2 linked regions of the Macaca fascicularis genome follow. The protein of the gene in region 1 binds, or shares a complex with, the protein of each later gene. Links are inferred from orthologs where the notes say so. Each region holds a gene or a part of one and is shown on either strand. Other genes may lie near its edges.

The links.
Region 2: GTF2H5 (region 1) and POLR2B share a complex: the UniProt entries of both Homo sapiens proteins name them as parts of the TBP-based Pol II pre-initiation complex. The link is inferred for Macaca fascicularis from reciprocal best matches to the Homo sapiens genes GTF2H5 and POLR2B.

What each region holds. Positions count from the first base shown.
Region 1 is NC_088378.1:66,512,072-66,527,245, reverse strand, and holds the start of GTF2H5 (general transcription factor IIH subunit 5), read right to left. Parts: upstream 8,151-15,174; 5' UTR 8,105-8,150; intron 6,627-8,104; 5' UTR 6,589-6,626; coding exon 6,554-6,588; intron 1-6,553. UniProt on the Homo sapiens protein: Component of the general transcription and DNA repair factor IIH (TFIIH) core complex, which is involved in general and transcription-coupled nucleotide excision repair (NER) of damaged DNA and, when complexed to CAK, in RNA transcription by RNA polymerase II.
Region 2 is NC_088379.1:76,889,578-76,904,914, reverse strand, and holds the start of POLR2B (DNA-directed RNA polymerase II subunit RPB2), read left to right. Parts: upstream 1-7,253; 5' UTR 7,254-7,340; coding exon 7,341-7,359; intron 7,360-14,826; coding exon 14,827-14,899; intron 14,900-15,337. Other genes in the region: NOA1 (nitric oxide-associated protein 1), read right to left, coding at 1,932-2,137, 2,636-2,800, 4,778-5,921. UniProt on the Homo sapiens protein: Catalytic core component of RNA polymerase II (Pol II), a DNA-dependent RNA polymerase which synthesizes mRNA precursors and many functional non-coding RNAs using the four ribonucleoside triphosphates as substrates.

The sequences.
Region 1 (15,174 bases):
AGTTCTGGCCAGGGCAATCAGGCAAGAGAAAGCAATAAAGGGTATTCAGATAGGAAGAGAGGAAGTCAAATTGTCTCTGTTTGCAGATGACATGATTGTATATTTAGAAAACCCCATCATCTCAACCCAAAATCTTAAGCTGATAAGCAACTTCAGCAAAGTTTCAGGATACAAAATCAACATGCAAAAATCACAAACATTCCTATACACCAATAACAGACAGAGAGCCAAATCATGAGTGAACTCCCAATCACAACTGCTACTAACAGAATAAAATACCTAGGAATGCAACTTACATGGGATGTGAAGGACCTCTTCAAGGAGAACTATTAACCACTGCTCAAGGAAATAAGAAAGGAAACAAAGGGAAAAACATTCTATGCTCATGAATAGGAAGAATCAATATCGTGAAAATGGCCTTACTGCCCAAAGTAATTTATAGATTCAATGCTATCCCCATCAAGCTACCACTGGCTTTCTTCACAGAATTGGAAAAAACTACTTTAAACTTCATATGGAACCCAAAAAGAGCCCACATAGCCAAAACAATCCTGGGCAAGAAGAACAAAGCTGGAGCCATCACACTACCTGACTTCAAACTATACTACAAGGCCACAGTAACCAAAACAGTGTGGTACTAGTACCACAACAGATATATAGACCAATGGAACAAAACGGAGGCCTCAGAAATAACACCACACATCTACCACCATCTGATCTTTCACAAACCTGACACACACAAGCAATGGGGAAAAGATTCCCTATTTAATACATGATGTTGGGAAAACTGGCTAGCCATACGCAGAAAACTGAAACTGGACCCCTTCCCTACACCTTATACAAAAATCAACTCAAGATGGATCAAAGACTTAAACATAACACCTAGGACCATAAAAATCCTAGAAGAAAACCTGGACATAGACATGGGCAAAGACTTCATGTCTAAAACACGAAAGCAATGGCAACAAAAGCCAAAATTGACAAATGGGATCTAATTACACTAAAGAGCTTCTGCACAGATAGAAGAAACTATCATCAGAGTGAACAGGCAACCTACAGAATGGGAGAAAATTTTTGCAATCTACCGGTCTGACAAAGGGCTAATATACAGAATCTACAAAGAACTTAAACAAATTTACAAGAAAAAAGCAAACAACCCCATCAAAAAATGGGCAAAGGATATGAACAGACACTTTTCAAAAGAAGACATCTATGCAGTCAACAGACATATAAAAAAAAAAATGCTCATCATCACTGGTCATTAGAGAAATGCAAATCAAAACCACAATGAGATACCATCTCACACCAGTTAGAATGGCAATCATTAAAAAGTCAGGAAACAACAGATGCTGGAGAGGTTGTGGAAAAATAGGAAAGTTTTTACAGTGTTGGTGGGAGTGTAAATTAGTTCAACCATTGTGGAAGACAGTGTAGCAATTCCTCAAGGATCTAGAACTAGAAATACCATTTGACCCAGCAATTCCATTACTTGGCATATACCCAAAGGATTATAAATCATTCTGCAATAAAGATACATGCATACATATGTTTATTGTGGCACTATTCACAATAGCTAAGACTTGGAACCAACCTAAATGTCCATCAATGATAGACTGGATTAGGAAAATGCAGCACATATACACCATGGAATACTATGCAGCCATAAAAAAGGATGAGTTCATGTCCTTTGTAGGGACATGGGTGAAGCTGGAAACCATCATTCTCAGCAAACTATCACAAGATCAGAAAACCAAACACCACATGTTCTCACTCATAAGTGGGATTTGAACAATGAGAACACATGGACACAGTGGGGGATCATCACACACCAGGGCCTGTGGGGGGTGGGGGGCTAAGGGAGGGATAACATTAGGAGAAATACCTAGTGTAGGTGATGGGTTGATGGGTGCAGCAAACTACCATGGCACATGTATACCTATGTAACAAAACTGCATGTTCTGTACATTTAACTCAGAACTTAAAGTATAATAATAATAATAAAGAAAGCTGAACAACTGATTTGCAACCTGGTACTCGTAGTCACTGGCCAGATCACCAGGTGGCCCATTACTCAAGACAACCACTGCAACCACAGATGCTGACCACATACTGTACCCTTCATGTGCTTTGCCCAGCCCAGCCTGCATACCTTATCCCTGATGTCAATTCCCATGCTTTGCCTAATCAAAAAGTCCCTGTCAGCTTTTGTGGGGATCAGCAGCAGAGTTCTTACTACTGTACTGTCTCCCTTGCATTTGTGGATAAACCCTGAATTAAAAGCCTCATCTGGGAAAACTGTGTAGCTGTGTTAATTTTTATTACATAGGGAGCCAAAGAGCTTGTGATCTGTAACAGCAATGTTAGTACCATAGCTACACTGCAAAGTTGATGGACCAGAGAATATTTCTAAAACATCTTGCTCATAGTAGGTACTCAAATGAGCAATTAAAATGCCAAGAGCCTGTGAGAGGATACAGGCAGAGAGGTTTAAATTACAGTTAGTTCTATCCCTATCAAATGATTTACTGTTGGGAACAGGCACCCCAAAATCTGGCCATAAACTGGCCCCAAAACTGGCCATATACGAAATCTCTGCAGCACTGTGACATATTCGTGATGGCCATGACACCCACGCTGGAAGGTTGTGGGTTTACTGGAACGAGGAAAAGGAACACCTGGCCCACCCAGGGCGGGAAAACCACTTAAAGGTATTCTTAAACCACAAACTAAAATAGCATGAGCGATCTGTGCCTTAAGGACATGCTCCTGCTGCAGATAACTAGCCAAACCCATCCCTTTATTTCGGCCCATCCCTTTGTTTCCCATAAGGCATACTTTTAATCTATAATCTATAGAAACAATGCTTATCACTGGCTTGTTGTTAATAAATACGTGGGTAAATCTCTGTAAATCTCTGTTCGAGGCTCTCAGCTCTGAAGGCTGTGAGACTCCTAATTTCCCACTCCACACCTCTATATTTCTGTGTGTATGTCTTTTATTCCTCTAGCGCCGCTGGGTTAGGGTCTCCCCGACCGAGCTGGTCTCAGCAATTTACTATTTTGATTACGAAACCATTAACCTGTGAATATATATGGGTATAATTCTAAGACATACATATAACCTCTTAAAAAGCAAACATAGGCTGGGTGCGGTGGCTCACGCCTGTAATCCCAACACTTTGGGAGGCTGAGCCAGGTGGATCACGAGGTCAGGAGTTCAAGACCAGCCTGGCCAAGATAGTAAAACCCTGTCTCTACTAAAACTTCAAAAATTAGCCAGGCATGGTGGCAGGTGCCTGTAATCCCAGTTACTTGAGAGGTTGAGGCAGGAGAATTGTTTGAACCCAGGCGGCAGAGGCTGAAGTGAGCCAAGATCGTGCCACTGCACTCCAGGCTGGGTGACAGAGTGAGACTCCGCCACCAAAAAAAAAAAAAAAAAAAAGCAAATACAATATTATACTTAGTTTTATAATGGAGAGATAGTATATGTAAAGTTTAGTAGCTTGGGCTCTGGAGCCACAATACTAGGATTTAAAAAATCCCAGTTTAACAACAGCTGTGTAACTGAGCAATTGATTAATTTCCCTGCATCTCACCTTGTACATGCAATGGGGATGATAGCACCTACCTCAAAGGGCTGTTGTGAAAACTAAATTAATATTAGCAAGTGCTTCCATAGCACATGTCACATGGAAAACAGTGTTAATACAGGAATCCAGGTGTTTTTACTTAACATCATTGTGCAATGTCATTTCCCTGAATCTCTTAAAATGTCTGAGAATATTTTAATAGCTATATTATTTGATTAAAATATGCCACAATCAACAAATTTCTTTTTCTAGCACATTAAATACACACATTTTTATTGGCAGTTCTGATCATTTCCTAAATTTTTTTTTTTTTTTTGAAATGGAGTCTCACCATGTCACCCAGGCTGGAGTGCAGTGGCACGATCTTGGCTCACTGCAACCTCTGCCTCTTGGGTTCAAGTGATTATCCTGCCTCAGCCTCCCCAGTAGCTGGGATTATAGGTGTTTGCGACCATGCCTGGCTAATTTTTGTATTTGTAGTAGAGACAGGGTTTCACCATGTTGGCCAGGCTGGTCTCAAACTCCTGACTTCAAGTCATCCACCCGCCTCGGCCTCCCGAAGTGTTAGGATTACAGGAGTGAGCCACTGCGCCCAGTGATTTCCTAAACTTATAGAAACGGAGTTACTGTGTTAAAGGATATAAAAGCACAAAACACCCATCACAAGTTGCTTTCAGTTGTTTCTCAGGATTACACTTCCATCAGCAGCTTGGTGGCATGCCTGCTTTTTAAAAGCTATGACTGAAGACAACAGCCTCCTCATTTACAAGCTATTTTGATATATAACATGCTAAATGGAGGCCTAGTATACACATCTGTTTTGAACTAAAACTTTATCAAGAATCTCATCTTATCCACTGTGAATCTCACTGTAGGACTAGAGAGGCTATAAAGGAACATTAACAAATTTGGAATTTTGCCTGAGATCACAAACCTGGACTCAATTCTGTTAACAAAATTCATTCGGTAAACAAATATTTACTAAGCCATAGCTATATATGTGTATGTGTATCTCTTTCTCTCTCTGTCTCTGTCTCAGGCACTGTTTTGGGTGCCTGGAAAACTTCAGTGAACATGGCCCTACTGAGAAGCAAAGGCTAAGAAAAGATTTATACATGCTGAGAAAAAAACAGAACAATGGTTAGATTGGTTTTGTCATTTTTTTTTTTTTTTGAGACGGAGTCTCGCTCTGTCGCCCAGGCTGGAGTGCAGTGGCCGGATCTCAGCTCACTGCAAGCTCCGCCTCCCGGGTTTACGCCATTCTCCTGCCTCAGCCTCCCGAGTAGCTGGGACTACAGGCGCCCACCACCTCGCCCGGCTAGTTTTTTGTATTTTTAGTAGAGACGGGGTTTCTATTAGCCAGGATGGTCTCGATCTCCTGACCTCGTGATCCGCCCGTCTCGGCCTCCCAAAGTGCTGGGATTACAGGCTTGAGCCACCGCGCCCGGCCTGTCATACTTCTTACTAGCTTCTCAGAAACAATACAGGTTTAGAAGCCAAACTCATAAGGATAAGGGTGGTTTAATAATACATATTTCTCCAGATTCTTTGCTATTGTGATGTAAACTGGTTGGAATTTGCACCTTGCCAACAAATTTTTGCTGAAGCACTTGCCAAACCAATTGTGGCAACTGTTAAACCAGAGGTCTGCTCCAGCATCTGGAACTGGACACAGACATACTGTGGTCATGTGTTGCTTGCTTTGGGAATTGCTTGGGAGGCTAGACTTGGGAGAATACTTACTGTGAGCCTGGCAGTTAATGGTGGATCCCAACAAAGAGGAAGTTTTCACCAACCTTTCAGTTTTGACATAAAAATGTAAATTTATAAACATAAAACTTTTTTTTATAGCCTTCAATTTTAGTATGTGATAAGCCCTTGGGAGTTAAGAATTTAACTATATCCAAGTGCCCTGATTTTTCAATTCACTGAAGGTCAGAATAAATGGCCATCATCATAATTTGGTTTACTTCTTTAGCAAATCTCTGCAGACTTAAAAATCAGTTAAACATAACTGATAGAAATGGAGCTTAAATATGGCAGTAAGTGAAGCCAACTTAAGATATATGTGGAACAGCACTATATAAGTTATTACACATTAGCTTATATTAATACAATGATGGGACTGGAATTTGGAGAGATTCAAATTGGAGAGATTCCTGGGACAGTGGAAGCAGCTGTGAGATAGGAATTCAGCAGAACTAGTTTCTAAGACAGGAGAGACAGTAAACAACAGGTCAGAAGACCCGACTGATAAGCGAGGATACAGTAAAGAAACCAGCCAGAACCAAGATGGTGACAAAAGCAGCCTTCACCACTATCATACACTAATCATAATGCATGAGCTTATGTTGTTGGCAGTGTCCAAGGGTTTGGTCCTTCTCCTCCTCAGCTTTGCCATCACAGTAAACAGTATCATTATCCATGCACTGGCTCATATTAGAGGCACAGAAAGGTAGACAGTAGTATTTTCAGACAATGGGAGTGTCCACAGAGCAGGGTTCCTAGACATTGGATTGCTTTGAGGACCTCAACCCTGCCCATTTATGGTTTTTAGTTTCTCCTCTGGAATGTATCTAAAGGAATTTAAGAAACCTTCTCCACTTGGCTCTCTTGTTTTTCTCTTTAAAGTCTACAGTTTGTAATGGTAAAGACTTAAGCAAGTTCCTGAACTCTTTCAGGACCTAAAATTCTAGTCATGTTTGAGGAGAATGCAAGCACTGTTCCTCTAAAGATGACTCATCTAACAAATATGCTGCCTCTGATCATGCCAGTTCCATCAATTCAACAGAGGGACTGAAATCTGGCACTAGGAACTTTGCAACAAAATCTGTGCCACTTGTTAAAAGTGAAAGACTTGATTTCATTCATATCTTAAAAACAACAGGGTTTTAGAAAGGACACACACGTAAGTCAAGATTCAATATTTAAACTTAAAACTCATGAAGTATCAAAACTACTAACCATTCTATAAGCACTCCTTTCAAGACGTTGACCATGTTTTCTTAGTCAGAAGGTTCAGATGACCTCAAGAATGCTAATAAAAAGAAGAAGGTAACACTGAATTAAAAATCATTAACTTTCATATACTTTGGGGACTGCCTCTGAAATGAGGCAAAATAATTAAGTGTCAATATTTAACAGTTAAGTCTATGAAAGACAGTTAACATTAAGAGACATTCTGATTTTTTAACAAAATTAAAATGAGTCTACTTGGAATATTGCCACATCTTACTTGCCAACCAACTCTACCCAAGGTCAATTAGCCCTAATAGAAGCAAGCAGCCTAACTCTACACCAGTGTGCCCAACCCAGGTGTAAACTGTCCGTTATTCAAAGGATTTCTTTTCCCATTCAGGAGAATGACAAAGGGTAAGATCCTGGGAGACAGGACTCAAAGATAGTTCTGAAAGGTGCTTCAAAAATTACACAGTGAGCCCAACCACCTCCTTTTAGTTTATATTTTATTTTATTGAGACAGGGCTGGCTCTGTCGCCCAGGCTGGAGTGCAGTGGTGCGATCTCAGCTCACTGCAACCTCTTGCCTCCCAGGTTCAAGCCATTCTCCCACCTCAGCCTCTCGAGTAGCTGGGACTACAGGCAAGAGCTACCAAGCCCAGCTAATTTATTGTATTGTATTGTGTATATATATATATACACACACACACATATACTTTGCGACAGAGTCTCGCTCTGTCGCCCAGGCTGGAGTGCAGTGGCGTGATGGCGGCTGACTGCAACCTCTGCCTCCGGAGATCAAGATATTCTCCTGCCTCAGCCTCCGAGCAGCTGGGACTACAGGCGCCCGCCACCACGCCAGGCTAATTTTTGCATTTTTAGTAGAGACGGGGTTTCACCATGTTGGCCAGGCTGGTCTTGAACTCCTGATCTCAAATGATCCACCTACCTCGGCCTCCCAAAGTGCTGGGACTACAGGCGTGAGCCACCGTGCCCGGCCAATTTATTGTATTTTTAGTGGAGACGGGGTTTCACCATGTTGGCCAGGCTGGTCTCGAACTCCTGGCCTCAAGTGATCCACCCGCCTCGGCCTCCCAATGAGCTGGGATTGCAGGCGTGAGTCACCGGGCCCGGCCCCAACCACCTCATTTTACAGATGAGGAGACCAAAGGAAGAGATTAAGCCGTAGTTCCCGGGGAAAGGGGAAAAAAGTACAAGCCAGGTTTCCAGATCTTGTGCCCCTTCACTAAATAAATCACGTCCTGTGCGGACCTAGGCTGGAAAGAAATCACTCAGCGTCCGCCCACTTAACTAACTTCCACTTACACCTGGGCGCAGGGCGAGCCCTAGCCCCACAGGAAACCCACGATTAAACGAGTGCGGAACTGCAGTGCGGCCCCGCCAGGAAGGGCCTGGAGAGAGTGGGGGACACCGCCCTGTGCCCCCAGCACCCGGTGGACAGGCTTCTTGGGCTTTCCTCTTCTTCCCCTCTTTCTTTGGGACCCCTCAGTCTGCCCACACCCCACTTTCCCCAGCCACTCGGACGCTTGCCACACACCTCAGCCCACAGATGCAGAAGCGCCTCGGCGTCGCCGACACAGTGCGCCTGCGCCTATACGTCATCGCGCTAGGGACGCTGTTGTGAGTGGAGCGAACCGGCAGTAGGCGGGCCCGGAGAGGGCCGAGGGGGCGGGGTCATAAGCCGCCCGCCGCCGGGTGGAAGGCCCCGGCCGGGAGCCGAGGAAAGGGGAGGGCTCCCCAGACAACTGGGTCCGGCGAGCAGTTGGGGACAGGTTGAGTCTGCGTGCCGGCAGGTAGGACGTGAAGGCCGGGCTAGTGTGGGGGCGGACGGGGGCGTCGGAGCAGCTGGGCGCGGTGGGGAGTGGAGAATGGGGAGGGCAGTGGCCGGGCACGGCCGGGCGCCACCGTAAGGCGCGCGGACCGGACCGACCCGCTGACGCTCCCCTGGGTGTGAGGGCCTCTCTCTGGTGGTCGCGAGCCTGACTCGTCTTTCCCGGTCGCTGCCTTTCTCTGGCTGCTGTCGAGGCCTCGGGGAGTGCACCTACCGGTCCTTCTTCCCGGGCTCGGTAGTCACGGAGAGATAATGAGGAGGAGGAGGAAAGGGCCTCACCGGTCACTTCTGAGCCTTCCAGACCACCGCTTCCGGCTCCCCCTCTAACCCCAGAGATGGAAACGATTGAATACTGAGAGATCTCTAAATTCGGCAACGGTCATTTAAAAGTGAAAGACCCCAGAAGCTTCTGAAGTGATTCCCTTTCCCCAAATCTGTTCTGTAATCTAAAGGAGCACTCTCATTATTTTTACTAGTTGAGATATGAGATTCTTGTTTTCTGTTCCTTAGGTTAAATTGTACTTCCCGAATTAAGCTCTACCTTCTTTTTTTTTTTTTTTTTTTTTTTTTTTGAGATGGAGTCTCGGTCTGTCGGTCAGGCCGGAGTGCAGTGGCGCGATCTGCGCTCACTGCAACCTCCGTCCCCTAGGTTCAAACAGTTCTCCTGCTTCAGTCTCCCTAGTAACTGGGATTACGGGCGTGCGCTACCACGCCCGGCTGATTTTCGTATTTTTAGTAGAGACGGGGTTTGTCCATGTTGGCCAGGCTGGTCCGGAATTCCTGATATCAGGTGATCCGCCCCCGTCAGCCTCCCAGAGTGCTGGGATTACAGGTGTGAGCCACCGCGCCCGACCTCATACTGCGTTTTTTTTTTTTTTTTTTTTACATCGTGTGTGTTCATGTGATCGCTTAGGAACCCAGCTCTTCCATTTAGTTCCCTCTTTCAATTTGCTTTTTTTCATCTTGCATACATTCTCTTCCTTGACCTCATCAGTTCCATTTTTGTGCACTTGATGTGTGCCAGCTATTATTCTAGACACTTGGGATACAATGGTGAACAAGTAACTAATTTTGGTTGGGGCAGAGAGACACAAATCGGTTAAGGAATAAGTACCATTTGGTGATGTGATAAAGGGTGACTAGAGGGGTTATTTTGGCCGGGGGATGTCAGAAATTGCCTTAATTTCTGCATTTAAAAACCTTCTGTATATCAGTAACAATTAACTAGGAGTTTTAATAATAAAGACACTATTCATAATGGCGTTGAAAACTGAAGTTATCTAGAAGTAGATCAACCTAAAGCTGCGTAGTCCTTTAGACAGAAAATTGTAAGGCTCTGTTGGAACACAAAAGATGACCCAAGTAAATGGTAAGATATACCGTATTCATGGATGGAAAGACTCAACAAAATGATGTCAGTTTTCCTCAATTGTACAAATTCAGTGTGATGCCAATTAAAATCACCATATTGTTTTATGGAACTTGACATGCTGAACTTAAAATTTATATGGAAAGGCAAAGGGCCAAGAATAGTGAAGTCAATTTTGAAGAAGAAGAAAAATAAGGTCTCTATCAGATACCAAAGCTTAATATAAAGTTGTAATTATTAAGGTGGTATGATATTGATTCAAGGAAAGAGAAGTAGATTCATGGAACAGAATAGAGACACTAGAAACATACGTGTTTATGATGGGAGCTTAGTATACCACTAAGTAGTATTACAAAGCAGGGGGAAAGCATAGAATATTCTAATAAAGGATGATGAAATATGTGGCATCGTTGTGGAATACAGACAGGATTAGATTCTTTCTTTCAAACTACTGACGACAGTTTCCAGATAAAGACCTAAATGTGAATGGCACAGCTGCAAGGTATTTGGAAAGAAATATAAGAGACCATTGTCTCTAGGAAAGATTTCTTTTTTGTTTGCTTTGTTAAATCTTGTTACACATAAGATTTATCATGTTAACCATTTTGAGATGTTGAGTTCAGTGACATTCACATTGTGCAACCAGCACTACTATCTATCTCCAGAACTTTTTTTTTTTTTAATCTGAGAAGGATTTCTTAAGTTACAAAAAGCACCATTGAGGTGTCATTTTATTACTCCAAATGAGAGATGATATTGGCTTGAACTAGACAAGAGTAGCAGTGAATACAGAGAAAAATGGATGGATTTTGGGGTATGTTTTGATGATAGAGAAGAGCAACTATGCATGCTTTGGATGTAGGGTAAGGGAAAAACAAGGAATCAAGGGCAACAACTGTTTTCTTGCTTCAGTTAAGAGGTAGATCATTTACCATTTACAATAAAAAAGCATTGACCATTTGGTGGATGGTGATGGAGAAGATTTGTGGAAGAAGAGTTTGGATAGAAAAAGTAAATAATTCTGTTTTGGATAGTTAAGTATGAAAGGCTTATTGGACATCTAAGTGAAAATGTTCCGATAGCTGTTGGATAGATGGGTCAGGAAAGGTCGTAGCTAGAGGTACTCTGAGATCACTGGCATATAGATATTAAGAACTGTGGTGTGTTAGAATTAGATCAGCTGTACTACACAGAAAACAAGATAATACTGGCTTAAATATGTATGTAATTGCATAGGTAGGCAGCCATGCTTTTATGGCAGCAGCTCTGTAATCATCAGGGACTTGGATTCTTCTATCTGACTGCTCTACCGTCCTTAATAAGATGCTTCATGGTAAGATGACTGCTTTAATTCAAACTGTCAGTTGCTCATTCTAGCAAGAGGGAGGAGGGAAGGAGGAAGAAAGGCGCATACCCTTCTTTTTAAGGACACTTTTCAGAAATTGCACGACACATCCACTCATATTTCATTAGCCATTTCTTAGTAAGTGCCCATCGTTAACTAGAAAGAAAGAAAGGTGATGTAGTCTTTTTTCTTATCTGTGTACCCAGCTACAATTCAGGTTTTATAAATCAGAATGAAAGCATGAAATGAAGTTTCACTCTGGCTTTTTCTACCAGGGCAATGAAACTGCTGATATGAAGATCCCAGTGACCTCCATGTTGTTAAACTTAATGGAATTTTCAAATATTTGTTTTATTTTTAAGTTATAGTCTCTTCCCTTTTACTTTCTGTGTCTTTCTTAGTCTAAAAATTTCTCCCCGTTCTCTACTTAACATCAGTGTTTCAGATTTTATGTAATCGCCATCGTAATCTTTTTTTTTTTTTTTTTTTGAGATGGAGTCTTGTTCTGTTGCCCAGGCTGGAGTGCAGGCGCAATCTTGGCTCACTGCAAGCTCCGCCTCCTGGTTTCGGCCATTCTCATGCCTTAGCCTCCCAAGTAGCTGGGACTACAGGTGCCCGCCACCACTCCTGGCTAATTTTTTGGTATTTTTAGTAGAGATGGCGTTTCACCGTGTTAGCCAGGATGATCTCAATCTCCTGACCTCGTTCGGCCTCCCAAAGTGCTGGGATTACAGGCATGAGTCACTGCGCCTGGCCCCATAATCTTAAAGGTGCTTTTAAATAGAAATTGACAAGCAGACTCTAAAATTATGTGGAAGTACCAAGGACCTAGAATAGTTCATCTTGAAAAGGAAGGACACAGCTGGAGAATTTATACTGCTAGCTTCAAGACTTACTTTAAAAACTACAGTAATCTGTAGTAATCTGTAGGGCACGGTGGCTCACACCTGTAATCCCAGCACTTTGGGAGGCCAAGGTGGGTAGATCACGAAGTTAGGAGTTCAAGACCAGCTGGCCAACGTGGTGAAACCCTGTCTCTACCCAAAATACAAAAATTAGTCGAGTGTGGTGGTGGGTGCCTGTAATCCCAGCTACTTGGGAGGCTGTCAGGAGAATTGCTTGAACCTGGGAGGTGGAGGTTTCAGTGAGCTGAGATCGGGCCACTGCACTCCATCCAGCCTGGGCAACATAGTGAGATTGTCAAAAACAAGAACAAAACAAACACAGTAACAACAACAACAAAAAACCTACAGTAATCTAAACAGTGCAGTGTTTGTATAAGGATAGATAAATAGATCGATGGAGTGGAATAGGCCCATACTTACATATTCCATTAGGGTTTTTTTGTTGTTTTTTTGAGATGTGGGTCTCACTATGTTGCCTAGCCTGGTGTTGGGCTCCTGAGCTCAAGCAGTCCTCCTGCCTCAGGCTTCTGAGTAGCTGGGATTACAGGCATGTGCCACAGATATAGTCAGTTGATTTGTGGTCTCAAGCAATCATCCCATCTTGGCCTCCCAAATCACTGGGATTATAGGCATGAGCCACCACACTTGGCCCTATGGTATACTTTTTATCGTTATTTTATAGTGTATTCCTCTATTCCCTCTACTTATAAAAAAGTAAAATTTACTGTGAAACAGTATACCAAGTTATGCTGGCAGCAACCTCATATATCTCGTATAAAGTTTAGAAATTACATGTCAGCTTTTTGAGGCATTATAAACCATCCTAAAGGCTACTGGCTAAAACATTTATTATTGCTTGCACGCTAAGGGCTGAATATGGATTTGTACCATCAGCTAGGGGCTGGCTAGTTCGATGTGGCTTCACATGCTTGGCGGCTGGTGCTGGCTGTCAGTTGGTACTTGTTGGCTTCATTAATGGGGATATTGGACATTTCTCTTGTGATCTAGCAGACTAACCTAGGCATCTTTACATGGTGTTGGTCACAGGGTTCTCAAGAGCAACAAGACAGAAGCTTCGATGTGCACGTACTTCCCAAGTCTCAGCTTGCATTATGCTTCTGTTGTCCTATGGCCAAAGTTACTCGTAAGATCAATCTAAAGTCACCGTGGGAGGGAACTACCAAAGATCATGGTTATAGGAAAAGGAATAATTTGTGGTCATTAAAAAAAAATCTGCATTTAAGACAAAAACTGTGTAAAAAAAGCAGGCAGGTATAAAAGTGAGTCACCTGGAAGTTTTAGAAATAAAAATTTTTGAAATACTCAGTGGATGGATCAAATGATAGTCTAAACACAACTAAACAGAAGATGATGAATTGGAAGGTAGATTTGGGGAAATAATCCGTAGTGCATGTCAGAGAGACAGAAAAAAATGGAAGAAGTTGAGATTTGAAGGTTAGACTTTAAAAATCTAGCATACATCTAATAGGAGTACCAGAAAGTAAAAGTTGAATGGAGGTCAAAGTGATAATTATTAAGAATATTGCAGAATTGGCTGGGCGCGGTGGCTCAAGCCTGTAATCCCAGCACTTTGGGAGGCCGAGACGGGCGGATCATGAGGGCAGGAGATCGAGGCCATCCTGGCTGACACGGTGAAACCCCGTCTCTACTAAAAAATACAAAAAACTAGCCGGGCGAGGTGGCGGGCGCCTGTAGTACCAGCTACTCGGGAGGCTGAGGCAGGAGAATGGCGTAAACCCAGGAGGCGGAGCTTGCAGTGAGCCAAGATCGCGCCACTGCACTCCAGCCTGGGCGACAGAGCGAGACTCCGTCTCAAAAAAAAAAAAAAAAAAAAAAAAAAAAAAAAGAATATTGCAGAATTGAAGAAAAATGTGAGTTCTAAAATCGAAGGAGCATACCAAATCTTGAGTGGGGTATATAAAAACAAACTCATACCCAGACATAAAGTAGAGAATTGTAAGAACATCAAAAACAAAGATCTTAAAACTGCCAGATGGAACATAATATTGATACTAATGATAAGTAATATTTATTGAACACTTAATTTGGAATAGGCACTATTGTGTGTGTTTTACATATATTAACTTATGTGATATTTGTAACAACCCTTTACAGTAGTTCCCTTATTACCACCATTTTATAGATGAGGAAAGTGAGACACAGAGAGGTTAATTAACTAGCCCATTATCATATGTGTAGTGCTTTCAAATGTACGTGGATTTTGTTTTAATCAGGTATGGTAAGAAGACAGACACAGAGACAACTACCTTGAAAGAAGAGTTTATTATGTACAGTTCCCAAGGAAGAATGGGCATACCACACCATGCAAGGCCACATGGGGAAGTACCAGGGTCATTCAAGAGGCATAAGGAACAATGTGAAAGCATGGGCCAGAGCTTGCTTTTATTGTATTTTTTTGTGAGAAGGAATGAGCGAGACAGGGTAGATGAGCTGAGCACATTTAGGACTGGATAGTTCGAATAATTTTGGCAGACCAGAGAGGTGGTCTCTAGTTGTCTAGTATCTGGCTCCGAGGAGATTTAGAGTAAGGGAAGCATTGGCTGTGTGTGGTGTTTGGGGGTGTGCAGCTGGGATTGGTTGGTTTGCATATGAGAGTCATGCTCACAGGCAAGTTGTTTGCTACCTCTAGCAGTTAGCTATCCCAGACCCAGAGAGAGGCAGTCACTCCCTGGGTCCTTAAGGTCCTAAGATGTCAAAGCATTCTTAAAAAAAAAAAAGACTAATACAAGTCGTTTGTGGAATTGGATTTGAAACCAGGCGGTGTGGTCCTACAGAGCACTTTCTTAAACTTCTTTGCTACTGTTTTGCCTACAAAGAAACAACAATTAGACTTAGATTTCTCCTGAGCAACAAGAAATATCAGTGAAAATATCATTAATGTACCGAAGGAAACCTACTGTTATTCTGAATTCTAAACCCTGAATTCCAAACCCAGCTATTACTGTTACTATTTTTTTTTCTGAGACAGAATCTTACTCTGTCTCCCAGGCTAGAGTGTAGTGCGTGATCATGGCTCACTGAAACCTCTGTCTCCCAGGCTCAAGCGATTCCTCTGCCTCAGCCTCCCGAGTAGCTGGGAATACAGGCACATGCCAACTGGCCCAGCTAATTTTTT
Region 2 (15,337 bases), on another chromosome or scaffold:
AGGAGAATTGCTTGAACCCAGGAGGCAGAAGTTGCAGTAAGCCAAGATCATTGCGCCACTGCACTCTAGCCTGGGGGAGACCGTCTCAAAAAAAAAGTTGTGGGGAGGAAGAATTAGTTCATTAAGCTAAAGTGATAGAATATTATTAGAAAGCAGTTCTGAACTTTTGGACTGCTAAGGAAGAAAAGATGGCATTAGCAATTATTCTAGGAGGGCAATAAAAGTTAAAAGGTCTGTATGATTCAGTGACAGGGGACACCAAATAGAATACAATTCTGAGAATGTAACTGTAAGTGTTACTGACAAGGCCAAGAAAAGTACCTAAGAAACCAATGTGGTTTTGTAGGGAGACACAGAGATAATTAGAATAATCAGAAACTGGTCAGTAACCAGATTCAAAGGAAGTGATTAATGAATCTCTTGTGAGGCTGTATCCTGGATGCACATTTGAGTCAATCAATGATCTGAATGAAGATCCAAACTGCAACGCAAAGGCAAGGCAAGGGAAAGTAATGAGATTTAATGAATATTTAACAGAGTAAGATATAGGCTGAATTTAACAAGACAAAGTCAAAGTTACCTATGAGTCCCAAAGTTGTCCATGAGCAGTTGGATTAAAGAGAGGCATAGGAACAAGACAGGTAGAGTTAATGCTATTCTTTTTTTTTTTTTTTTTTTTGAGAAGGAGCCTCGCTATGTCACCCAGACTGGAGTGCAGTGGCGCAATCTCAGCTCACTGCAAGCTCTGCCTCCTGGGTTCATGCCATTCTCCTGCCTCAGCCTCCCCAGTAGATGGGATTACAGGCGCCTGCCACCATGCCTGGCTATTTTTGTATTTTTAGTAGAGACGGGGTTTCGCCGTGTTAGCCAGGATGGTCTTGATCTCCTGACCTTGTGATCTGCCTGCCTGTGCCTCCCAAAGTGCTGGGATTACAGGTGTGAGCCACTGTGCCCAGCTGGAGTTAATGCTATTCTAAATCATGCTCACCTGAGAGCACTGCGTTCTCAGTGTCAAACTTTAAGAACAAACATAGAAAACATTCTGAAGAGGCCTGGGTCAATGAATAGCCTGTTTCTCAGGGAGCACAGCTGTAGGAAATGAAGACAAATAATCCAGATTGTCAGCACAGTAAATGCTCAATGTTTGCTGGATGAACTAATGAAAGAGAAGAAAAGGGAGGGATAGGTGAAGAAGAGATGGGATGTTACACTTTAAAATATTTCAAAGTCTGGCAAGGGAAATAGGTATTACGTTAGTCCCATATGGCTTTAGGGAACAATGGGTGCATGTTACAGGGAGACTGTTCAGCTCAGTACACTCAATATAAAGAGAAGGTCAAAGACCCAAATGAGTTACCTTGGAAGGTGACGGGGCACAGTTTCAGTTAATGGTGAGTCACTCCTGTCAGTTCAAGATGGAGGACCCCTTGATGGATATGTTATAGGGGTAATTCAAGCAGGAACTAGGGAGGTGGACTTCAGTGATATTTATGTTTTTTTCCAATCTCAAAACCTAGGCTTCTGTAAATGTTTCCCTAACTAAGGTAACAATCACAATGATAAGAAATAAGTTGGTTGTCAGCAATGAAGTCTATCAAATGGAACAGAGAACTTGAGGGCATACAGATTCACCCTTAAACAGCTTTTATGAATGAATCAGAACTGAGTCTAAAATGGAAGTATACTTCTTTTCCTGTTTTCTGCCAATTAAGACAGCGGTACTTGTACAATTGAAAGTAAATGTTTCAGAGGCTGATATGACTAGTAATAAAACTCCAGTTTCCCATTTAGCTGGCTCTGCATGCATTACACTCTTTCTCTATTGCAATTCCCCTGTCTTGATAAATTGGCTATATATGAGCAGCAAGCAATATAAACCCATTAAAAAAGAAAAAGAAAGTAAATGTTTCTAAAGGAAACCAAATACATACACAGTTTTCTTTTGTAATTCCAGGAGTGTCATAAAACCAGTGGGCATCTTTCACATCTTGTGCAGTCAATTCTACTTGTTTGGTGGATTTGTGCGTACCCATAACAGGTTCATTTTCCATGTCAAAGGCAAGTGAATCAGCATCAAACTCAAAGGGAACTGTATCCTTCCGTTCTTCTGAATACAAGAATGTCCTTCCAACCCTTCCTAGAACAAGTTATAGTAAGGTTATCAGTCACTCCTTTAATACTTTTGACTCCAGACATAATTTTTATGTTTCCCTCAAACAAGTTACTAAGATTACAGTGTAGGGAAGTGAGACAACAATGATACTTTTTTTTCTTCCAAAAAGCAATGGGAGTCAAACTCTTGCAATCATCAAGTGTGTGTCTGGCGGTGTACATGGAGTGGCAGGGGTGAGTGTGTGTGGAAATCAAACTGTTTTAAAGAAAGCCTGAAAAGATATACCAAGGAAAGACAGACAATCTAATCTAAAGCTGCTGCATGGAGTAAAAACTTTTACTACCTGTACCGCTCTGGGTTTCCAAATAGTAGCCTGAGTGCTAAAAGGCCTCTTTGTTGCAGAACGAGGAAGGCAGTCTCTCCCCACAAAAACTGGCTAGCCTTGGACAACCGTATTTCACGTTGCTTAACAAAGAATTTTAGCATAATACCAACCAGGGTTTTCCCATAGAGGATGCTTACCTACGACATAACCATGCTTTTTCAGGACATTAAGCTGATTTTGTTCTTGCTCACTAAGATCTTCTTCAGCTTGAGTTGAATCTTTTTTAAGTCTTTGATGTCTTTTAAACCTTCTGTAAGGAGTTGGGTTGCAAATAGGAAACTTTAGAAGGTTTAATGTAGTACCTGAAATACACAGAATAAATACATCTTTAGAAAAGGGAATAAGGGGGAAGAAAATGAACATTTTTGAAGATCTACACTGTGTCGGTTACTGTAATAAAACATAAAATTACTGACACTTTACAAATGAGGAAATAGGTTAAGAGATTAGCTCACAGGGGAAACCAGAATTTGAATCCAAAATCTATAGGCCCGATTTCTTTCAATTTTCATCACATTACCATTCAGTATAAAAGTAATATTTGTGTAAAATTCAAAGTGCAAGACAGAGAAGAGCAGCTTACTAAATGAAACTCTGGTTTCAAGGGAACAAATAGGGCAGTCAGTTTTGTAAACTTAAATTTAAACCTGGCTGGGCGTGGTGGCTCACATCTGTAATCCCAGCACTTCGGGAGTCCCAAGCGGGTGGATCACTTGAGGTCAGGAGTTCCAGACCATCCTGGCCAACATGGTGAAACCCCCCTCTCTACTAAAAATACAAAAAATTAGCTGGGTGTGGTGGTGTGTGCCTGTAGTCCAGCTACTCGGGAGGTTGAGGCAGGAGAATTGCTTGAACCCGGGAGGCAAGGGTTGCGGTGAGGTGAGATCACACCACTGCACTCCAACCTGGGCGACAGAGTGAGACTCTGTCTCAAAAAAAAAAAAAAAAAAAAAAAAAAAAAGCGGCCGGGCGCGGTGGCTCAAGCCTGTAATCCCAGCACTTCGGGAGGCCGAGACGGGCGGATCACGAGGTCAGGAGATCAAGACCATCCTGGCTAACACGGTGAAACCCCATCTCTACTAAAAAATACAAAAAAAAACTAGCCGGGCGAGGTGGCGGGCGCCTGTAGTCCCAGCTACTCGGAGGCTGAGGCAGGAGAATGGCGTAAACCCGGGAGGCGGAGCTTGCAGTGAGCTGAGATCCGGCCACTGCACTCCAGCCTGGGCGACAGAGCCAGACTCCCTCTCAAAAAAAAAAAAAAAAAAAGCTAGAATTACAGATGTGAGCCACTGAGCCCAGCGAAGCCACACATCAAATTGCACTAATGAGCCAGGAGTGGTGGCTCACACCTGTAATCCCAGCACTTTGGGAGGATGAGGTGGGTAGATCACTTGAGGTCAGGAGTTGGAGACCTGCCTGGCCAACGTGGTGAAACCCTGTTTTTACCAAAGATACAAAAATTAGCTGGGCATGGTGGTGCTTACCTGTAATCTCGGCGCTTTGGGAGGCCAAGGTGGGCAGATCACGTGAGGCCAGGAGTTCGAGACCAGCCTGACCGACATGGTGAAACCCCATCTCTACTAAAAATACAAAAATTAGGCCAAGTGCGGCGGCTCACGCCTGTAATCCCAGCACTGTGGGATGCCGAGGCGGGCGGATCACGAGGTCAGGAGTTAGAGAACAGCCTAACCAACATGGTGAAACCCCGTCTCTACTAAAATTACAAAAATTAGCTGGGCATAGTGGCGTGTGCCTGTAATCCCCGTTACTCAGGAGGCTGAGGGAGGAGAATCTCTTTAACTCCGGAGGAGGAGGTTGCAGTGAGCTGAGATCTCACGCCACTGAACTCCAGCCTAGGCGACAGAGTGAGGCTCTGTCTCAAAACCAAAACAAACAAAAAAACCCACAAATTTCATTAGGTTCAGACAGTAAAAAGGGCGCACACTTTCTGAAACAATATACAAAGAAGTTACAAAGCAGATCTCCAGAACAGGAACTTTGTTTTGTTCCCTGGTCTATCTCCAGTGCCTAGCGACTGGGAACAGAGAAGTGCTCCATAAACACTGTAATTAGAAAATTACTACAACACATCCTGAATTTTTCCTAGCAGTAAGCTGACACAGAAGAGAGGTATGACCAGAGTGGGGAGAGAATTTGTAAAGGGAAGGGTACCGGCAGCCCGTAGTGGACATTAAGGGAGGATGTAGTCGGTGCCTCAGCTAGGACCAGACGTCCACCTTGTCAGAAAACGAAGAGGGAGAGAGCCTCCTAAAACTCACCTGGCCAAGGGGAGATGGTGGCTCTGTCGATGGCCTCGGAGCCCTTGGCGGTGCAGTAATCGGACTCCAGGAGCGTGTTAAAGAGAGTGGATTTGCCGGCGTTGGTGGCGCCCACTAAGTAGACGTCCCCACGGTAGCGCCAGGAGCGCTGAAGGGCAGAGATCAACTCTTCCACTCCATAGCCGGTCTTGGCGCTGATCAGTCGCACGTCTCTGACCACCGTGCGGGACCAGTTCGGCGGATTCGAATTCTCCCCGTCCTGTGGCTCGTTCTTGACGGGGATCTGTGGCCCTTGGTGGCCAGGGGCCAGCAGGAGCCCGGCCCGGGCACAGTCGTCCCACAGTCGCTCCCGCAGCCTCTGCCGGTAGCCAGGAGCATCCTGGGGCAGGAGGTCCACTTTGTTTCCCAGCACGATCAGCTGCTTGGGGCCCACCAGCGCGGGCAAGTCGGGCAGCAGGGCGTCGGGCAGGTCGAGCAGGTCCACCATGTAGAGAACCAGGGAAGGCCCCGGCGGCCGCAACGCGGCGCTCACCAGCTCCAGGTACTGCTCGCGGCTCACCTGCAGGCGTAGAGCGCGCCGGTGGTGCACCAGCAGCCAGCATCGCTGGCACACGGTCCGCGCCAGCCCGCCGTCTGCCTCCGCCGTGCGGAGGAACTTGTCGCAGGGCAGGTAGCCGGGCACGCCGGGGTCCTGGCAGTGCAGCTCTGCCCCGCAGCCCGAGCAGTTCACGCCGCTGGGCGGCACTGCCGCGTCCGGGTGCCCCACGACCGGGTGCTCCCGGGGCCTGGTCCGTAGGTTTTGCTGTCGCCGCTCCTCCCGCCGCTGCTGCCTCTGTTGCTCCTCCTCCTCCTGCTGTTGCTGGAGCTCCTGCAGCTGCTCTTCGCGGGTGGGCTCCAGCTCCGGCTCCGGGATGTACTCCGGGAACAGAAAACGCTCCTGCATGTCAGCACCTTCTCCAAAGCCCTCCGTGTCCACGGGGTCATAAGGAAGCTCGCGTCCCAGACTCGATGAGTGCTGGAAGGAGGAGGCGGCAGCGCGCCTCCTCCCCAAGAGCGGCTCCCGGAGGCCATGGCGCGCTGCCGTGGGAGCGAATCCACGAAAGAAAAGGCTCAGCAGCCTGAACTGCAGGCGAGCGGGCAGCATGAGGAAATAGCTCCAGGCAAAGGGGCGGAGTCACAAGCGCGCACGCGTACTAGGGCCCGAGGCGACGCGCGTGTTAGAACCGAGACGAAAGCGAGTGGGTACTTGGGAGCTGTCCTGGTTAGTTTTGCGTCTAATCTCGTGAGTTCTCGCGATTTAAGCGCCGAGACTGATAACCTACTTAAAGCTATAGCAAAGGCATTGGAGGCACTGGAGGATTGAGCTAGATGGGCAGAAGAGAGCGATGAGCGTTTTGAGTTTTTTCACTTTCAGGCTTAACGCCTCACTGCTAGCCCAAGCCGCCCGTAATAAATCACATTTAAAAAGGAGCTTCCGGGCCGGGCGCGGTGGCTCACGCCTGTGATCCCAGCACTTTGGGAGGCCGAGGCGGGCGGATCATGAGGTTAGGAGATCGAAACCATCCTGGCTAAGACGGTGAAACCCTGTCTCTACTAAAAATACAAAAAATAAACCGGGCGTGGTGGCGGGCGCCTGTAGTCCCAGCTACTCAGGAGGCTGAGGCAGGAGAATGGCGTGAACCCGGGAGGCGGAGCTTGCAGTGAGCCGAGGTCGCGCCACTGCACTCAAGCTTGGGCGACAGAGCGAAACTCCGTCTCAAACAAAACAAAACAAAACGGAGCTTCTGGCCGGGCGCGTGGCTGGAACGGTAGGCGAGCGGGCAGCTCGCCTCTAATCCCAGCACCTTGGGAGGCCGAGGCGGGCGGATCACCTGAGATCGAGACCAGCCTGGCAAATGTGGTGAAACCCCGTCTCTACTAAAAATACAAAAATTAGCCGGGCGTGGTGGCGCGCGCCTGTAATCCCAGCTATTTGGGAGGCCGAGGCAGGAGAATCGCTTGAACCCGGGAGACGGAGGTTGCAGTGAGCCGAGATCGCTCCACTGCACTCCAGCCTGGGCAACAGAACGAGACTCCATTTCAAAAAATAATAAATAAATAAAAATAAAAATTGCTTCGTGTTTTGGTCTTTATAAAGGCAAATCAATTGAGCATCCCAATGTCGCGGATTCACAGAACGAGCACTTTTTATTAATAAGTATACTTGGCTTTGTTTTCAGGTGTCGTTATTTGTGCAACGACATTGAAAAACAAGCAGAAATAAAACATTAACGGGACGGATGCGACAGCAGATTGCGGGAGCTGTCCTCTCAATCAGCCACCGGCAGCGGCGGCCCACAATTTGCGCGTGTGCAACCCAACTCCCGCCCAAGCTTGCCCTACAATTTGCGCAGGCGCAGATCCTAACATTGGCGTCCCTGTGGGCGGCCTCTTGTGTGAGACGCACAGTATTCTGGGAACGTCGGAGACGGAAGTTACTTGGTCTTTAGCTCCCGGCGCTGGTGGCTTCTGCGCGCTTTTTGTCTTTGATTTCGAGTTAGGAGCTCGGGAACCGTTTGGCAATATGTACGACGCGGATGAGGGTAGGTGAAACACATGCCACGGCGGTCCAGCAGGGAAGCTTGGGGAACTGATTGGATTGATGATTGGGGCCTTCCCTCCCGCCGGCCGGACAGTCCCTAGCCTTGTTCCCACACCTTTCAGGCCGGGAACGAAACTGGGGTAGGGAGAGGCAGAGGGTGCAGGGAACACAGCGTTAATGTTCCCGGTTAGGTTCACTGCTGCTCTCTGCACTTTCTCGTTCCCTTAGATCTGATCCTCGCTTCCTGTAGTGAAGTAGCGTGCAGAACCGTAAGATAAATTCCGTGGTTTTGAATTTGAAGCAAAGAGCACCCTTTAAAATTTTTCCTTAAAGCCACAGTCGACTTACTGAATAGCTGAAGTGTTGAATGTCAGCCTGTGTCAGGCAGTGTGGAAGGCCCTGGAAATATATCGGGACAGAGAATATCGGGGGGAGGGTGGGGGGACTCGGTTTAGTCTGACATTTCTTCATGCTGTTTGTAAGTCAAAGTAAATTGTCTTAAAGGATGGCGTTTAAATTTCCTCTTCTCACAGTGTCACAGTTCTCACAATGTCACAGTTCTCAGATGATATGTATTCTGCTACACTGGACCAATGTATAATATCTGTTTCGGCCGAGCGCGGTGGCTCACGCCTGTAATCCCAGCACTTTGGGAGGCCGAGGCGGGCGGATCACAAGGTCAGGAGATCGAGACCACGGTGAAACCCCGTCTCTACTAAAAATACAAAAAATTAGCCGGGCGCGGTTGTGGGCACCTGTAGTCCCAGCTACTCGGGAGGCTGAGGCAGGAGAATGGCGTGAACCCGGGAGGCGGAGCTTGCAGTGAGCCGAGATCGCGCCACTGCACTCCAGCCTGGGCGACAGAGCGAGACTCCGTCTCAAAAAAAAAAAAAAAAAAAAAAAAAAAATCTGTTTCTTTGCGCATATAGAATTCTTAGTAGTGGCCGAGCGCGATGGCTCCCACCAGCACTTTGGGAGGCCGAGACGTGCAGATCGTTTGAGGCCAGCCTGACCAACATGGGGGAAATCCCGCATCTACTAAAAATACAAAAATTAGCCGAGTGTGATGGCGCGCGCCTGTAATCCCAGTTATTCGGGAGGCTGAGGCCACATCGCTTGAGCCCAGGAGGCAGAGGTTGCAGTGAGCTGAGATTGCGCCTCTGCACCACAGCCTGAATGACAGAGTAAGACTCTTGTCTTGAAAAAAAAAAAAAAAAAAAAAAAAAAAAAAAACAGAATTCTTAGTTGAATCTAGTGTATTTTCGTAGCTGCCTTTTCTATTCTCCATATCTACTAATGCAAATCTTATTTTCTTCTAGCTCTCAATTCCTTGGCCACCCCTTACATCTCCTCTCTTTATTCCCTCAGCTACTTCTGATAAATGAGATGGAAAAAATTGAAGCAAAAGCTTAAACTTTTTAAACAATTTTTTTTGAGAGATAGGGTCTGGCCATGTTGCCCAGGCTGTTCTCAAACTCCTGAGCTCAAGCCATCTGCCTGTCTCAACCTCCCAAAGTGCTGGGATTACAGGCGTAAGCCACTGTGCTCAGCCAAAAACTTAAACTTTTAAAGCTGTTTAAACTTGTCTCATTTATATCTTGTGTTCTAGAAATTTATTAGCATCATTATAGTACTTGTTCTTTTTAACTGTTATCTCAGTAGAAGAAAAATTCGAAAAAAAGATTTTTTAAAGCATAATTTTTGGCTAGGTAATACATTCTCAGCTCACAAGCCAGAAAGTTTAAAAACGTTAAAGTGGGGTGGCTGGTACAGTGTCTCACGCATGTTATCCCTGCATTTTGGGAGCTTGAGGTGGGTGGATCGCTTGAGCTCAGCAGTTCAAGACCAGCCTGGGCAACAGGGGAGACCCCCTCTCTATAAGAAATGGAAACATTAGCTGGGTGTGGTGGTGCTCACCTATAGTCCCAGCTACTTGGGGAGCTGAGGCAGGAGGATCACTTGAGCCTTGGAAGTTGACACTGCTGTGAGCCAAGAACAAAGTGAGACCCTGTCTCAAAAAAAAAAAATTAAAGTGTCAGGTCTCCTTCTTACCCACCATCTGCCCAGTTTGAACTCTCCACAGTGGGTAACTACTGTTACAATAGATTTTAATCACTCCGCAGTTTCTTTTTTTTTTTTTTTTTTTTGACAGTCTTGCTCTGTTGCCCAGGCTTGAGTGCAGTGGTGCAATCTTGGCTCACTGTAACCTCCGTCTCCCAGGTTCAAGCAGTTCTCCTGCCTCAGCCTCCCTAGTAGCTGGGATTACAGGCGTGCACCAACATGCCCAGCTAATAGTAGTATTTTTAGTAGAGACAGGGTTTCTCCACGTTGGCCAGGCTGATCTCAAGCTCCTGACCTCAGGTGATTCACCTGCCTCAGCCTCCCAAAGTGCTGGGACTGCAGGTGTGAGCTACTGCGCCCAGCCTCCACAGTTTCTTTATGCATATTTGAGCAAATATAAATGGGATTTTTCTCCTTTTTTAAAGACAGAAAGTAATATTCACACTTTTCTCCACTTTTAGATTTTGCTTAATGTATCTAGATTTTTGTATCAGTACACAGAAAGCATCGCCCCCGCCCCTTCGCCCACTCCCCCAGTTACTTAGTTTGTGTGGATGTACCATAACTTAAGTAGTCTCTTGATGGATATTTGATTTATTTCTAGTCATTTTCGGGTTCAGTGCTGTAAATGAATAATCTTGTACATATAATTTGCCCAAGTATGTCTGTGGGATGCATTTCTACATATAAAATTGTCACGTCAAATGATACACACCTTTAACATTTTGCTAGATGATGCCAAGTGACCACCATAGTGGTGATTTGTACTAGTTTTGCAATGTATAATGATCCCGTGGAAAAAAGAGTTTATCATAGTTGCTTTAGCAGTGAGCCTACATTTTATTCTTGTCCATGTCCTCTGAAATGTTTATTAGATAATGTCCTCATCAGTTTTCAGCCACTATGTGAAAATGTCAGATTTCTGTCATCCACATGGAAACAAGTTAAACTTTTCATTTTTTCCTTTTTCTTCTAGTATTTTACCTTTCTCCTTTCATTCACAGCCAAACATAAAAATAATAAGCTGTCCTTGTTTCTAATTTTCATCTTTCATGTCCTTTTCAACTGATTACAATATGTTTCTACTCATGCTACTGCATTAAGATAGCTCTAAGATTCACAGTGACTTCTCAATTGATAAATGAGATGGATATTTTAAAAATCTTATCTAAACCCTGTGGTCTTCAAAACTATTGATGACATCTTCCTGGAAACTCACTCAGCTTTCTAGCCACATCACTTCCACTTGATTCTTCTTATCTGACTTTTGTTCTCATTTTCTTTCCTGTTCACATTCTCTTTGGGTGATCTCATCCATTTTACATTGTTTAGTTACCATTTGTATGTGGATGACTTCTGAATGTATACTTCTAGTTTAAAAGCCCTGGTATCTAACTGCCACTGGCCAACTAGGGTATCTCCCAGGCTACTTCACCTTGTCACTGCCCAAACTGAGCTAATTATTTTCTTTTGCTATTCCCCTCCCAAAGTCACTGCCTCCTGTGTTCTCTGTCTCGGTGAAGGGCACTGTTGGCCCTCTGTATCTGTAGGTTTCACATCTGTATATTCAATTAATCTTGGATTGAAAATATTAAAAAGCTTGAGGCCAGGAGTTTGAGACCAGCCTGGGCAACATAGGGAGACCTCATCTCTACAAAAAAATTTAAAAATTAGCTGGGCATGGTGGCGTGTACCTGTGATCCCAGCTACTTGGGATACTGAGGTGGGAGGATTGCTTGAGCCCTAAGAGTTTGAGGCTACAGTGAGCTGTGATCACACCACTGCACTTCAGCCTGGGTAACAGTAAGGCCCTGTCTCAACAAAAAAGAGAATATTAGAAAAAAATTGTGCCCTTGTAAAAATGTACAGACTTTTTTTCTTGTCATTATTCCATAAACATTACAAGTAAACAATTCTTTACATAGCATTTACATTGTATTAGGTATTATAAGTAATCTAGAGATAATTTAAAGGATACAGGAGGATGTGCCTAGGGTATATAACAGTGCCATTTCATGTCAGGGACTTAAGCATCTGTGTTTTGGTATCTATGGGAGGTCCTGAAACCAGTCTCCAATGGACACTGAGGTACAACTGTTGTACCCTCTGTTGTTGAAATCAAAAACCTGGCCATCATTTTTGACTCCTCTCTTTCACCTCCATATCTAATCAGTCACCAAGCCCTGTTGGTTCTGTCTCCTAAATACGTCAAATCTGGTCACTTCTCTATCCCCTTCACCATCATTCTAGTTCATGTTGCTGCCATCCCTTGCCTAGATTACTCCTAACTGATTTGTGTACTTCCAATCCATTCTCCACACTGGCCATAGGGATCTTTCAGAAACGAAAATGTGACCTAGCCACAACCCTGCTAAACTCAAATCTCTTGATAAAGGCCAAACTCTTCTTATTCCACTTCCAACTTCACACTCTGCGCTTCCGCTACATTGACCTTCTGTCATTCTTTGAATATGCCATCCTATCTTGCATTATGGGGTCTTTTGCACAATTTGGTTTTTTCTATTCGGTAGGGTTCTTTCTTGACTCCTCCTACCTTTTTCCCTTCCTTTTTGCCTGATTACTCCTGTTTATAACATGAGGTCTCTGCTCAGCTTTTTTTTTTTTTTTTTTTTTTTTTGAGATGGAGTTTCCCTTTGTCGGCCCAGGCTGGAGTGCAGTGGTGCGATCTTGGCTCACTGCAACCTCCGCCTCCCAGGTTCAAGTGATTCTTTGCTTCAGCCTCCTGAGTAGCAGGGATTACAGGCGTGCTCCACCATGCCTATCTAATTTTTGTATTTTTAGTAGAGACGGGTTTCACCGTGCTGGCCAGGCTGGTCTCAAACTCCTGACCTCGTGATCCATCTGCCTCGGATTCCCAAAGTGCTGGGATTACAGGCGTGAGTCACTGTGCCTGACCAGCTTTTTAAAGACAATTTTAGAGACGGGGGTCTCGCTTTGTGGCTCAGGCTGGTCTCGAACTCCTGGTTTCAAGTGTGCCTGCCACCTTGGCCTTCCAGTGGTGGGATTACTGACATGAGCTACTGCACCTGGCCTCTGCGCAGCTTTTGGGAAGTCTTCCCTAACCTCTTCAGGTCTTTGTCAGGAATATTCATATCACTTTTTTTTTTTTTTTTTTGAGACAGAGTCACACTCTTGTCACCCAGGCTGGAGTGCGGTGGCATGATCTTGGCTCACTGCAACCTCTACCTTCTGGGTTCAAGCGATTCTCCTGCCTCAGCCTCCCTAGTAGCTGGGACTATAGGCGGGTGCCACCATGCCTGGCTAATTTTTGTATTTTTAGTAGAGATGGGTTTTCTCCATGTTAGCCAGGCTGGTCTTGAACTCCTGGTCTCAAGTGATCTGCCTGCCTTGGCCTCCCACAGTGTTGGGATTATAGGCATAAGCCAGTGCACCTAGCCTCAAAAAAAATTTGATGAGTGGATGAATAAATGAGTCTCTTTCATGGGTTCATTTTCCTTCATATGACTCTCAAAGTTGTTCCCAGATATCCTGCCTTCAGTCTTCCTTCTCTATGTACAATCTCATTTTTCTCCCACGCATTTGTTAATGATTCCAACTCTGTACTTTTTTTTTCAAATTTTAAAATGTTTATTTTATTGACACAGATACACATGTGTTATATGCCAATGTGTATCTATTGTGTGTTACATGTTGTCTATAATTTAGACTCTCCATTTGAGTTTATATTCGTATATATGTGCCTACTAGAAGTATTTGAAGGGATATGTGATCTGTAGATATCTCTAAAGCCGATCTCATTACCTCTCCTTTTTCCACCATCTTACTTGCTTCTCTGGTATGGCAGTGATACTAACTTTTAATCTCTCATCAAAGCTGGAAATCTCTGAGCTATTATAGATAACTTTGTCTTTCTTACCCTTCCCCCAGGTATAGGGATTAATAATTCCAGTCCATTTAATAAGGGTTCATTAAAAATTTATTTTGTATATGTATCAAATTTTGAACCCAAAGTTTTACAGGCTATGTATGTGTACATTAGAATAAAAACCAAAAATACAGCACACTTATTCTTTCACATAAGATGATGGGATTAATATTAGAGGACCAGTGCATACTGATTTTTTTGAATGCATATTTAAATTACTGTTGCATAACTACCCGAAAATTTAGCTACTTAAAAAATTATTTTGTTATGTTCATGGATACTGTGGGTCAGGAATTTGGACAGGACTTGCCTGCCTTCCACCGTGACTCTGGTTCATTTGGGAAGACATTAAGGCCGAGTGTTGACAGCGGGGTGAGAGATGATCTGTAGTGTTGACTCTCATGTCTGACATGAGACGTAGCTTGGGAGGACTCAAGGACTAAAACTGCTAATGGAGCATCTGTAAGTGACCTCTCCTTATGGTTTGGGCTTTCTCAGAATGTAGCAGCCTCAGAATAGTGTATGACTTAAAAAAAAAAATTTTTTTTTTTTAAATTTAAATTTTTGAGACAGAGACTCTCTCTGTTGCCCAGGCTGGAGTGCAGTGGTGCAGTCTCAGCTCACTGCAACCTCTATCTCCTGGGTTCAAGCAATTCTCTTGCCTCAGCCTGCTGAGTGGCTGGGATTACAGGCATGTGCCACCATGCCCGGCTAATTTTTGTATTTTTTAGTAGAAACGGAGTTTTGCCATATTGGCCTGGCTGGTCTCGAACTCCTGACCTCAGGTGATCCACCCACCTTGGCCTCCCAAAGTGCTAGGATTATTATAGGCCTGAGCCATCACTACTTTTTAATGACAGCTTAGGGCTCCAGAAAGTGTTTTAGCAAACATGACAGAAACTTCATTGCCTTTTCTGACCTGGCTTCTGAAGTCATGCAGCATTGCTTCAGCGGCATTCTCTTAAGTTACAGGAGAGTCAGAATCTACCTGATTCAAGGAGAAAGTGCATAGACCACTATATCTTATGATGGGAGTGTCAAGATCACATTATAGAAGGCCATGTGGGATGGGAGATAGGCTAGTGGCCATCTTTGGAAAATGTAATCTTTCATACCTGTACATGTATGAAATGTTGCTGTAATAGATCGCCCCACCTCAGGGTATTGCCCAGCTGTTGGAATCCTTCCATGGCTCTGCCCCCTCATTCTGTCTCTTACTCTAGTCTCTGAAAATCTTACTGATCAATAAAATGGGAAACTTAAAATTCATACAACTTACATTACAACTCTCTAATAAACCTCTTCGTATATTGGAAGAATACCTGTGTGACATAGACATAAATTATTTTATTAATGTAATTGAAATTTTAGAGAACCTGGGGTGAAAGCATTACTTATTCAGCAGAAAGTAAATATGTTTCTGCTACTTAAAGTTACAGGAGCAAGATGTTAACTAAGTGGCATCTCATTGCAAATGAGTACAATATTTTGTTTTTACAGATATGCAATATGATGAGGATGATGATGAAATCACCCCGGATTTGTGGCAAGAAGCATGCTGGATTGTAATTAGGTAACTTTGGACCAAACTGAATTAGCTTGAAAAGGCACTGTAGATTTCCTGCTTAGTCTTCTTGATAAATAGCTGTTCTATATAAATGTGCTACGTGACAGTAGTTACTTTATTTATATATTTAACATTTTAAGTAATTCAGACCTAAAAATTAACACAAAGAATTCATTTAATCACTTCACCCAGATTCCGAAAATGTTACCCCATACTACATTTCTTTGTCTTTTCTTCTTTTGGTACATATTTTTTTTCTGAAACATGTGAGAATAACTTGCAGATCACTTGATCCTGGGAGGTTGAGGCTACAGTGAGCCAAGATCGCACTGCCGTACTCCAGCCTTGATGACAGAGTGAGACCCTGTTTCCAAAAAACAAAAAAAAGAGTAACTTGCAGACATAAGGACATTCTTTTACATCATCACAATTATGGTGATCTTA